Linked DNA regions of Oreochromis niloticus. The protein of the gene in region 1 purifies or fractionates together with the protein of each later gene. This does not show direct contact. Links are inferred from orthologs where the notes say so. Each region holds a gene or a part of one and is shown on either strand. Other genes may lie near its edges. The genes, in order: polr2g, ctdp1 and scaf1.

What was found.
Region 2: the proteins of polr2g (region 1) and ctdp1 purify together in Homo sapiens (affinity purification with mass spectrometry; 4 studies listed by BioGRID and IntAct, counting the BioPlex papers as one, with this or other methods). This does not show direct contact. The link is inferred for Oreochromis niloticus from reciprocal best matches to the Homo sapiens genes POLR2G and CTDP1.
Region 3: the proteins of polr2g (region 1) and scaf1 purify together in Homo sapiens (affinity purification with mass spectrometry; 3 studies listed by BioGRID and IntAct, counting the BioPlex papers as one, with this or other methods). This does not show direct contact. The link is inferred for Oreochromis niloticus from reciprocal best matches to the Homo sapiens genes POLR2G and SCAF1.

The regions. Positions count from the first base shown.
Region 1 is NC_031966.2:22,184,327-22,188,077, reverse strand, and holds the start of polr2g (DNA-directed RNA polymerase II subunit RPB7), read left to right. Parts: upstream 1-1,468; 5' UTR 1,469-1,594; intron 1,595-1,739; 5' UTR 1,740-1,935; coding exon 1,936-1,947; intron 1,948-2,212; coding exon 2,213-2,322; intron 2,323-2,467; coding exon 2,468-2,627; intron 2,628-3,731; coding exon 3,732-3,751. Other genes in the region: uncharacterized protein si:ch211-175m2.5, read right to left, coding at 694-793, 873-1,046, 1,135-1,185. UniProt on the Homo sapiens protein: Core component of RNA polymerase II (Pol II), a DNA-dependent RNA polymerase which synthesizes mRNA precursors and many functional non-coding RNAs using the four ribonucleoside triphosphates as substrates.
Region 2 is NC_031985.2:31,525,897-31,529,647, forward strand, and holds the start of ctdp1 (RNA polymerase II subunit A C-terminal domain phosphatase), read right to left. Parts: upstream 2,368-3,751; 5' UTR 1,774-2,367; coding exon 1,478-1,773; intron 339-1,477; coding exon 255-338; intron 1-254. UniProt on the Homo sapiens protein: Processively dephosphorylates 'Ser-2' and 'Ser-5' of the heptad repeats YSPTSPS in the C-terminal domain of the largest RNA polymerase II subunit. This promotes the activity of RNA polymerase II.
Region 3 is NC_031969.2:2,175,641-2,179,391, forward strand, and holds the start of scaf1 (splicing factor, arginine/serine-rich 19), read left to right. Parts: upstream 1-1,244; 5' UTR 1,245-1,312; intron 1,313-1,327; exon of another isoform or gene 1,328-1,474; intron 1,475-2,319; 5' UTR 2,320-2,416; coding exon 2,417-3,751.

The DNA.
Region 1 (3,751 bases):
TAATTTTTAACTTTCTGTGAAACATAATTTAGGGCGCTGTCCCATTTCTAAGCTACTGAACACATTTCTTTTGGACAAACAGTGACTCACAGGTTACACATTACCAAAATAATCTGAAATGAAAATAAACACAGCAGTATTTTAAAAGTTAAAACAAAACAACCCCTGTTACAGGAATATATTTCACAAATATCTTCCAGTTGTGATTTCATCATCAATCCCCTGCAGTGCAAGCAAGTATGAAAAGACCTCATTTTTACGTGTGTTGGATACATTCATTCATACCAGGCAATATAATGCATTCTTTTTAAAGGTAGCTGCTAAGCCTGCATACCAAACACAACCCAGAGTGCTATAGATATCCTGGAATGTGACAGGATTTACATGTGTAGTTTTGCAAACGATGGAGGTTTTGAATTTTAGAAATCCTTTTCTGAAAGGAAGAATTAATAAACAGGTCTAGACTACATGGAGTCAGGAAATCTAACATCCATCTATCCACACTTTGTCCAATTTAGACTCACCAATTAACCTAACCTCACTAAAAGGGTGTCTTAGAAGCCGGAGTACCCGGAGAGAAGATCCAAACACCACACAGAAAGGCCCTGGACCTCCCCGAGTTTGTCCATGCAATTGAATCTCAGACAAAACGCACCTGCTGCTAAAACAAAGACATACAGCACACAAGCACACCTGTGTCCTTGTTCATCAGTTCGTTGTAGTATGCAAAGAAGGCTCTGAACTCTGCCGGCCTGTGAGACAGCACTTTAAAGACATTGGGCAAAAATCCTCCCTGTAAGGAAGCACAGGTTTAATGGGGAGCAGAATCAAGTTCAGCAGACTTAAAGACCTTGAACGCCTCATATGTAAACCTTTGATTCCACTTCCTCCATAAGCTCCACTATATCATACGGCAGATCTTTCTTGTAAGGAATTGGGTATCGGCTGATTTTCTCTGGTGGAGAGCCACTGGAGGAAGATCTGGTGCCCGTCGCTGCTGCCGCCGCCCCCTTCCCCCGAAACAAGCAACCTGAACGGAGACACACCTGCAGGGAGGACAGCGCAGTCACATAAAATCACCCATAAAGTGCGCTGGAGATAGCCTACAAAGTGGAAAAGTATGGAACAACTTACAAGCTGTGTCAGAGGAGGGCGGAACAGCTTCGAGACGAGGTTACTCGCCATGTCAGTCAGCAGAAACTGGAGGCTGGTGTGAGATTAATCTGATCGTCAGTCAGCTACTGCTGTATCCAGGCGAAGAGGTTTTTAAGGAAGTCAGACTAATCCTTAAGAGGCACAAAGTTAGAGCTAATGTCGCTAAGTTAAACAGGGATATTTACCTATCCAGCTTTCAGTCACCTATTCGACTCCACAGTGCGTCACATTACACAATAACTGAAGCAGTGTTGACCATTAATTAGCTACCGTGTTAGCAAATAACTCGTTTTTGCTTCGTTTATATGTCAGATGTTAATAGTCTCGTGGAAAACAAACCAATCAAAACCCAGTATGGAGGCACGCCTGCTGCACGTCCACACCCTCACGCACTAGTCCTCCTCACCGACAGGGGTCAGTCTGTGACTGGATTGAAAAGGTTAGCCTGATTTCTGTGGGTCGTTTAAATAGTTAATTAAGCGATTCTTAGATAAAGCAGATAAAGTATTTAAATTGTTATTAATATTTATTATTTAACTTAACTTGTGATTATTAGAGCTGACTTTCGTGTCTACCAAAATTAGGAAAGAAAAGCGACACGCTCCTGAGAGACAGAACTGAGGGCAACAACATCCCATATCCCAACATCGTCCTCTGACTCGGAAGTGACTTTGTCAAGAACAAACGAGCGGCTGGTTTTCATTCAATACACGAAAAAACATCTTTTGGAAAATATAATAAAACGATTTTTGAGTTGGGACTAAACGTAAACAGACCGAAATGTTTTACCATGTAAGTATTTGTATTGCTCTCCGTATATAATCGCTAACAGCAGTCTGGTTCTGTTGTTGATAAGAGTTTGGCTGGCGTGCTTGTAGCTACTGTAGCTTTGTAAAACTTTATCATATACCCTTAAAAGCTGTTATCACTGTTGCGCTTTTATAGTTGTGTGGAGATGATACCAGTGTTTTTTCTCTTGTTTTTGAACGGCAGCAGAATAGCTTGAGCAGTGACGTTGTCCACGGCAAGCTAATTTAGAGAAGCCTTGTTTTCACAGATTTCTTTGGAGCACGAAATCTTACTACATCCGAGATATTTTGGTCCAAATCTGCTGAACACCGTGAAGCAGAAGCTCTTCACAGAGGTCGAGGGGACCTGCACTGGCAAGTGAGTGACTCTTGTGTTTGACTTAAAAATACTTTAAATCAAAGGCTAAAAAGAGGTTGAAATTTGACCTTTGGCTTCTGGAAAACTGGGCCACAGATGGAGGTTGTTTTGCAATTTAAATAATTTGTTTAATTCTGTCTTGCAGGTATGGCTTCGTCATTGCAGTTACCACCATTGACAACATCGGAGCTGGCGTAATCCAACCAGGCAGAGGTTTTGTCCTCTATCCAGTCAAATACAAGGCCATTGTCTTCCGTCCGTTTAAAGGAGAAGTTGTGGATGCAGTGGTCACTCAGGTTAACAAGGTGAGGGGCAGGTTTAGAGTCTTAAAGCCCTAACACAGTGTTCATACCATGCTGTAGGAAAGTTTTTGCCCCCTTTCTGATTTCTTAGTTTTTTGTTTGTGTTTGTTTTTTTTGTTGTTGTTTTTTTCATATTTGATGATCATCAAAAAAAAATTATATCAGAGAGAGGGTTTTAACTTTAGTAAATACAAAATGCAGTGTTAAATGAATTCATTTATTAAGGGGAAAAAAGCTATCCAAAACCTAGTTGGCCCTGTGTGAAAAATAATTCCTGCTACATTTTAAATCTTACATTAAATATGACTAATCATTTTGGAATTTTTTATTTTTTTTGGAAAGTTGAGTTCAGTTTCACTATCCACACCCAGGGCTGATCACTGTCAAACCTGTTGACTCAAGAACTCACTTAACTTGTTGGGGATTTCCATGTTTGTTAGTTTTTTACCTTACAATATAAAGCGCCTTGAGGCAGCTGTGGTTGTGGTTTGGCACTAGATAAATAAAACTGAATTGAATTGAAGTAGGACTGGTCTGACAAAGTGATGTAGGCTAAAAGATCTCAAAAAGCAACACACTAAAGAAACTCAAGAACAGATGAGAAACAAAGTCAATGACACATGTCAGTCTGGGAAGAGTTACAAAGCCATTTCTAAGGTTTTGGGACTCCACTGAACAACATTGAGAGTGTTTAACTACAAATGGAAAAATGCATTCAGCTGTCTGTGCATTGAGGCTCTCTGTGACTTGGATTATGCAGCAGGACAATGAGTCAAAACAAGTACACCTCTGGATGGTTAAAAAGCTAAAATAAGAGTTTTGGAGTGGCATAGTGAAAGTCTGGACTTAAATCGAATTGATATGCTTTGGCATAAAACCTGCCACCACCTCTCCCTTCTCTTGTCTCTATATCCTGTATTCCAGCCATCCTATAAGATGTAGAAATATAAAAAAAAATGTACTTCTGAATTTTCTGAATCACTTTAACAGCCAAAGTGTTAAACTAAATGTGTCCAGTTTTAAAAAATGAAGTCATGAATTGCTGAAAAAGAATAGTGTTTTGTCTTCCTTTTGAAATGTTTCTAAATATGTCTGTAATTCTTACAGGTCGGTTTGTTCACAGAAAT
Region 2 (3,751 bases), on another chromosome or scaffold:
TTTTTCACTTTTTCCCCTTTTTCTTCTGCCACCAGCATGTGAAATTACACAACCGTGACATCCATCCCAAATGAGCCTATATGGAGGGGTTTGCTGTTCCATTTTAGTTTGTTTTATTGTTTATAGATATATCTATGCAATAAAAGGGGGGAAATTAAAGTTCTTGGGGGGAAAACGCCTGAGCAGATCAGAAAAACACAAAGATTTAAGTTAAAGACAAACAAACAAAAAAGAGAGATAAAGCATGTACTTACTGAGTTAGATCTTGACCACATTCGGCACATAAGCCCTTCATGACGATGGGATGGCTGCATTCTTCTATTCTGACTATGATGCCCCTGGAAAAAGGAAAAAACAGGAAAATAATTAAAGACCCAATTAACTTGCTTGCAAACTGAAGCCTGGGACTGTGCACAGATTCTCATTAACTGTAGCATGCAAGTACATAAAGAAACATAAAGAAAGCTGTTAATTAGGTGTTTCACTTTATATAGCTGTAATAATAAGACGCTGTTAAAGTATTATAAACAGCTAACAGTAGACTAAGCCGGGAGCAAGAGTTTACAAAGAGTACCTGAAAGCAGCACGACCCTTTCCTAATAGCAAATAACAACTATATCAGCTTTGAATGTGTATTAATATCAAAAGGTGTCGAATTTAAATGTAAAGTTTTCAAAAATAGGACATTTCTTTTAAATTTGATATATTCCGCATAAGAAGTGATGCTAATACTTAATAAAGCACAAAGAGACCGGTCAAACCAATTAAAGAGAACTTCAAAATCTCCTCTTTTACTAATTAACTGCTAAGATACACGTCTCCCGTTACTGTGAATTAATACGCGTTAAAGTACATATATATATATATATATATATACACATACACACACACACACACACACACACACACACATACATACATATACACGGCTGGTTCAAGCTCACGAGGATAACGGCTGCCTCCAGGGTCACTCTTCTACCTGTCAATCTGCACTGCTTGTACACAATTTTGTGCACGCGATAGTGGCTGCGTCAAGGCAAACAGCACGAGAGCATCTACCACGTGGTCGCGCCTTCAAAACAAAAGTGCGGAGGTTTGTAAATTCAATCATTACTGCATGTTAATCAAAATTCTGATATAGCAAATAAAATTGTTTTCTAACTTTCTCTTTCACCACAATCACAACTCCTGACAAAGCTAGATAAAATAATATTTATAAAACACGATGCTCTTATTTTGAAAGCCCCCGACGAAACGCCAGCTTGTTTATTTTGCGGTACTTGACTGGTCAGAGCAAACGCTCCGCTGTGTTGCTTTGAGCGTGGCTAGCAAACAAGCTAACGTCAGGTTAACAGTGTTAGCTCGTTAGCTAGCTTAGGTACAGTGAGCATGAAGACAGCTGCAACAAAACTGAGCTGACACAAACAGGGAACAGGTCAGCTAACATTAACGAGCTATAGCAAGCAGGGTGACTCACCCGGGAGATATGACTTGTCCAAGTTGACTGCATAGCTCCTTCACTATTCCAGCACGGTCCGATTTCACCTTCTTCTCTGGCAGCCTGGCACCATCAGTCCCCTTCTCTTGAGGTATGGGTGCACACAGTGCTAGCACGGAGTCCACGTTAACAAGAGAGCCGGCTTTGACTTTCCACTCTATAAGCCGGACAGGGAGAGCCCCGGCTGGCCAGCAGATATCCGCCACCTGCACCACGGGGCCCTCTGCAGCTGCACCACCGCCGCCACCACCAAAATCTGCAGGAGGATCCTCCATCTGCCCCGCACTCTCCAAAAACAAAATCTCCTTACTTTTGAAAAGCTGACAGCTTAAAAGGTATCCACTCGACCTCGCAAAGCCCCGTGTATCATTAAAACGTGCGAACCGTCAACATCGAGGAGAATTAAAACAAATGTGCTGCAGATTTAAACACAGCAGCTCCACAGTCCCAGCTACGTTCGCTCTTCCCGCCCGTAAACAGGAAAGCGCAACACTGCAGCGACACGGGTCGCTACAGCATCCGGTATACAGCAAGCCACTCGCGAAAAACACCAGAGAACTGCTATCGTCTCCGAGAACGCCCACTCTTTGGATCCCTGTTTTCTTAGAGGGCGCTCGCGAGGTAGTCCAGAATGAATACATCCCCGTGGACGTGAAGCCCCCAAATGTAAATTCTGTGGAGAATGTTATGCTGGGGACTTTAATCGTGTGTTTTTATAGGTGAATGTGAGACAATGGACTCAGTTAAATTTCGAAAAACATTTTACGGGGTTCGATTGTAGTTAAAATGCGTTTTATGTGACAGCGCAATAATAAGACACTTTACGGCATCTGCCATTTTGATTTTGGGCACGAAGCTAGTGAATCCTAAATTGACCAATCAACTTGCAGGTTTGGTTTTCGGAAAATCCGATTCTTTCTTTTTTAAGATAAAGGAAATGACGTAACTGTTGTTATATTTTAGGTCGTCAAAATTATAGGTATGCAAAAATTAATAATAATAGTAATTTGTGGGTTTTTGTCTAGAAGCAGGTTTTAGCCGTTTAGGTCCTTTTACACTTGTGATCATCGAGGACGAGCTCGCCGGCGCCCTCTGCGGTGCCGCTGGCTAATCTACAGTCAGTTTGTGCACAGTGGGATTAATAGGAAATGAAACTACTTCCCTCGATCGTCTCTGAACGCAGTTTCTACTTAGGTTTCAAAATAAAACGACTCGTGGATTGTTATTATCGGCAGATGCCTCTTTGTGACGCTTTTCACAATGTTGCCGTAAACTTTTAGAGTCACCAATGTGGTTATTTTAACTACTCCTTATTATAGATATCACCTACATAGCGCTTACATATTGTGTTAAAATCCACTCGAACCGTGCAAGATCTTTATTTATTTTTCCCTTTTTCGTTAAAGCCCCTGAACCCGCACAGACATGGTGTTACCTGACGCAACTTGATGTAACATATAAGTAACACTACACAAGTGTCTCATGGGGGTTTTGCAATAAGAGCATGATATTTACAAATGCAGTCATGTTTAAGGTGTAAGTGAAGGAGGTTGTTATAGTTTAAGAAAGCCTTAGGTTTGATTGTATAGATTACACCGACCCTCGAGTTATGTTAATATTTAACTTTCCAGGCTGAAGATGGGACTGAAGGAAGGAAGCAGAGGAGATAGATGATGACCTTACAGGACAAGGACGTACCTCGCGCTGTTCTAACTGTTCAATGACGTAGAACTTAAGCACCTCCTTCCAGAGTGTTCGTTTCAACTAACCGAGATGTTTCACTACCCGATTTCTTTTTCACGCAGGTGTGAAAACGCCTTTCTTCTTATATTTCACAATAAAAGCCCTAGAAATAATCTTGGAATACCAGCGATAAAACATAGCTTACACAAGTATTTTATAGCAACTTCCGTTAACGTTTGGTATTTAAAAATAATCTTATACTATGTTCTACAAATTATGAAATAGACATTTTTTTTCTTATTAAATTTATGAAAGTTGTTATGCTTTTGAGAAGATTGTCTGATATGTGGGGTTAATGAAATTGAATCTTCTTTTTTTTCATTGAGGCAAAATTAGTAATTTAAAGGAACTCATGAAATTCCTGAAATTATATTTTAAATAAAATTATGTATATTGCACACAAGAGGGCTTCTGTTACCTAACCTAGATCATTGTCAGTGGGTGGATGCAGTGGGTCGATGGATGGACTTAGCACTAGTGTGGTTAAAGTTATACAATCTATTTCCATCA
Region 3 (3,751 bases), on another chromosome or scaffold:
ATGGGATGTGGACAAACTGTTTGAATCTACATGTTGTGTATGTTTGGAAATGTATATACCTGCCTTACACAAATAAAATTAGACAATGGCAACAAATGAACCAAAACGTGTTAAATAGTGTATCTGTGACAGCAGTTTTCATGTTGCTTATGTTAAATGGCTTTGTGTGGTTGTTTGATGTGTGAAGTCCGTTTCTACGGTTTACAGTACAGAGCTTAGTTTTTAACACGTGTTAGGAATGTGCTGGTCCACTTTAGACACTCTGCACACAAACATTGGACTTTGTCTCAGCCACAGTGCAGTCTGTTATGTTTCAGTTATGCACACGGGTGGTGTTTTACCTCTGGTCTGCATACACACTGCTGACAAATTAAAAGTGTTGGTAGCCCAACACTTCTCTCCTTTGTTCGTGCGCCAACCCAACAACTAACCTGTGCGTTTAATATGAACATGTACGAATAGTCTGCTGGGTTTGTCATGTCACAGCAGTACCTGTTTTACTGAAGAGCCAGAAGGAGAAAAAATCCTAAGAAAAGGCAGCAAGGTTAGTATTTAAAAAAGAGGGAAATTATATTCTAAAGATATGAATAAGAAGAACCTCACAACACTGCTGTGGCCATACTGGATGGCATGTTCTTATCATGTCTGTTCACTCCAATGTGCTATCGCAGTCCAAAAACATGCATGGTTATCATCACAAGTGTAAATATGAGTGTTAGCCCTGCAGCCGGTGGATGACCTGTCCGGGCTTTTACACTATGGCAGCTGGGATAGACAGACACTGGATGGATGGGTGATGTTCAAAGCCAGCTGAGCCTGGATGTGCTGAAGAACTACTGTCTCCTTACTTTAGTAACAGGTGTTTTTACCTGAGGAGTTCTGCTTTTGCCAATTTCTAAACTTTGTCTGTGTTTTGGTACATTTGATGCTTCATATATGGAATCCATTTATGCAAACCTTTTAAAAGTAAAAGTGAGTTATGACAGTAAACATGTTCATGTTACTTTGATCTATGAGTTCGGTTTAGGGTAGCATACTTCAGACAGCTGTCTGTAAACCAGTCACAGCAGAAATGAATTAGTTGTTACAAAAAAGACACTTTTTTAAAAGCCAGTTTGAACTTCTATGTGTAAATGTGTAACGGTGTCATGATCACGGCACATCAAAGGCAACTTTAATGGTGTGTGGTAAACGATGTATGCGGCTCTTTTGTAGCACCTGCGATTCACTCGGTTTCCCATCATTCTTTGTGTCCGGTTTCAGGGGAGGGAAGATGGCGGTGACTGGTGGAACAGACCCGTTTTAAATACTGGTACGTATTTAAGCACCACAAAAAGCAGCATATATCTAATTTCGTGGTTTGATTGAATGTCTGACAAAGTAACAGCCAGTAGATGTGAAGCGGTGGCTTTGGCCTGAGACAGAAGGTCACCGGGATGAAGGGAACCCATCAACATACTCCTCTTCTTGCTAGGTGCGCTAAGCTAATTAGCTACATGGGTAACTGAAAATCTGCCGCCAGACATTTTTAGCGTCTGTTAGTAAATCGAGTGTGCGACCCGTGACAAACCTGCATTACACATAATGGAGTTAATGGTCAAAACGCAAGGCGGAAAGATGTTTTGTAAAGCAGCCAGCGCGCTGTCCAGGCACGAAAATCTAATGATAATGCTATCTGTGACAAGCACTGAGAAATAAAAGTCCCTAATATGGAAGCTAAACGTATTTTTCTTTTCTTTTACAAGTCAGAAATCACGTAAGCGTCCCAACAGAGAAGGAGAACGACGGTAATGTTTAATTCACCGTGTAAACAACAGAGAGACAGTCATGTGCTGCGCAGTTTTTTTTTAATGATTGTGTTCAATGAGTGTAGACTGAAAAATGTGTGTGTTGACCCGGTGTAAGGGTCGACTCCTCCGACGGCTGCCTTCAGCTGTCTCTCAGCTCACCCTGGTGAGAGCGCAGTGGGACTCAGTGGGCCCCCTCAGACTGGCTCTGGTCTTCTGTTTCGTATGACTGGACTCCAAACTCTGATTACACTCCCGACTGCAGAAGCATGTTAACAGGCAGATGAACGTTTAGCTCTTTGTAACAACAATAATAATATCATTCAAATTCCTTCAGTCAGTCTTTTCTTTGTTTCGCTGTACTGTACTAAAGACATGCCCTCTCTTTGACAACACAATTGTAGAAACAGTCTAACCTCTGAGTATCCACCATGGTATTCATCATTTGTCACGATCGTAGGCTCTCCACGGAGCATTTCCACTTGGATTATATTGTAACGTAAAGTGACACATGTTCTTTTCTTTCTGCAAGGTTGGTTCCTGAGCCCTGTTTTCTGGTGTGACCTGCCACGCCCTAGGTGTCTCAGTATTACTTCCCTCACTTTTTGACCCACCGGTATTTCTGGCTCATGGACTTGACTTTGGCAACAGGCTTCAGAAGGAGGCCTGGTGCCTCCTCTTCCCCAGGTGGAGTTGAAGAGACCTCAAAGAGCCCTCCTTCCTACTCACCTTCATTGTCTGCATCATCTCCTTCAACCAGTCCATCTTCACCATTGTCTACATCCTCCTCTATGTGTGCCAACACATCAGTTTATCCAAGCCGTGTAAAAAGCCAGTTCAATGGAACAGAGAGAGCCAGGGTTTCCTCCACTTCTGCCTCTCTAGCTACGCAGTCTCTCTCTAAACCTACATGCAGTACCACCTCCTCAGATTGTTTGCCTCACACTTTAATGCAACAAAGTGCTGACTGTGAAAAACAGGAGAGGAAAAGGGTGATGTACAATCCTTTCAATCCAAATAATGGAGCTAGAGAAGGAACAGAGATGAAGGAGGTGGGGGAAGGAGAGAAATACGATCCTTTTGACCCCACTGGTTCCCCAGCATCAGATGTTGATGATGAGAGTGGCAAAGCAAGGATCCTGAAGAGAAACACTATGAGAGAAGAAAAGGAGAAGGTGGAGGAACCTCCAGATTCCACGGACGCCTTCACTGACCTTCCAAGCGCCTGTCTGAGCACTCAGCTCCCTCTGAGGAGGAGGGTGGACTGCAGCACCATGAAAGCTGATTCAGATCACTCTGAGATAGAGGAGGGCGAGATAGTTGGAGCCATTGAAAGAGATGGAAGCACTAAGAGACCTGTAGAGGAAACCCTCCCCCTAAGTTCTCCCAGCATCTCCTTCTTTGGGTCAAAGCCAGAGCGAATCTTCCGAGTGCTAGATGGGGATGGCTTTGTGTCTGTTTGCACAGAGGGCAGCTGGGAAGTAGACACTGAGCTCAAGGATGAGCCTGTGGTAGGAGTAGAGGATCTGAGAAGGAAGCTGGTCAGCAGAAGGAAGGAACGATATCTCTCCTTTCCTGCTTCTTCACCCTGCTCCCCCCAGCTGCCACCGCCACCACCGCCGCCGCCTCCTTCTCATCCTCCAACCTCTACATCCTCATCCCCTTTAACGCCTCCTGAAGATCAGGGCGGCAAAAACTCCAAGGGCCACAGCCAACAAAAAAGCAAAGATAGAAAAGACGGAGAAAAGGAGATTAGAAGAAAAAAGAGAAGGAAAGGCAAAGAGTGGGGTCAGGAGTTGAACAAGAAAAAGGCGCAAAAGATGGGCAAAGAGGATAAAGGAAGAAGGAGCAGCAGGAGCAGCAGTCGGAAGAGGAAAAAAAGATGGCACAGCAGCCCAGAGACTTCACGGTCCTGCAATTCTTCAAGAAGAGATGCCCACACCAGATGGTCGTTTTCCAGCCTG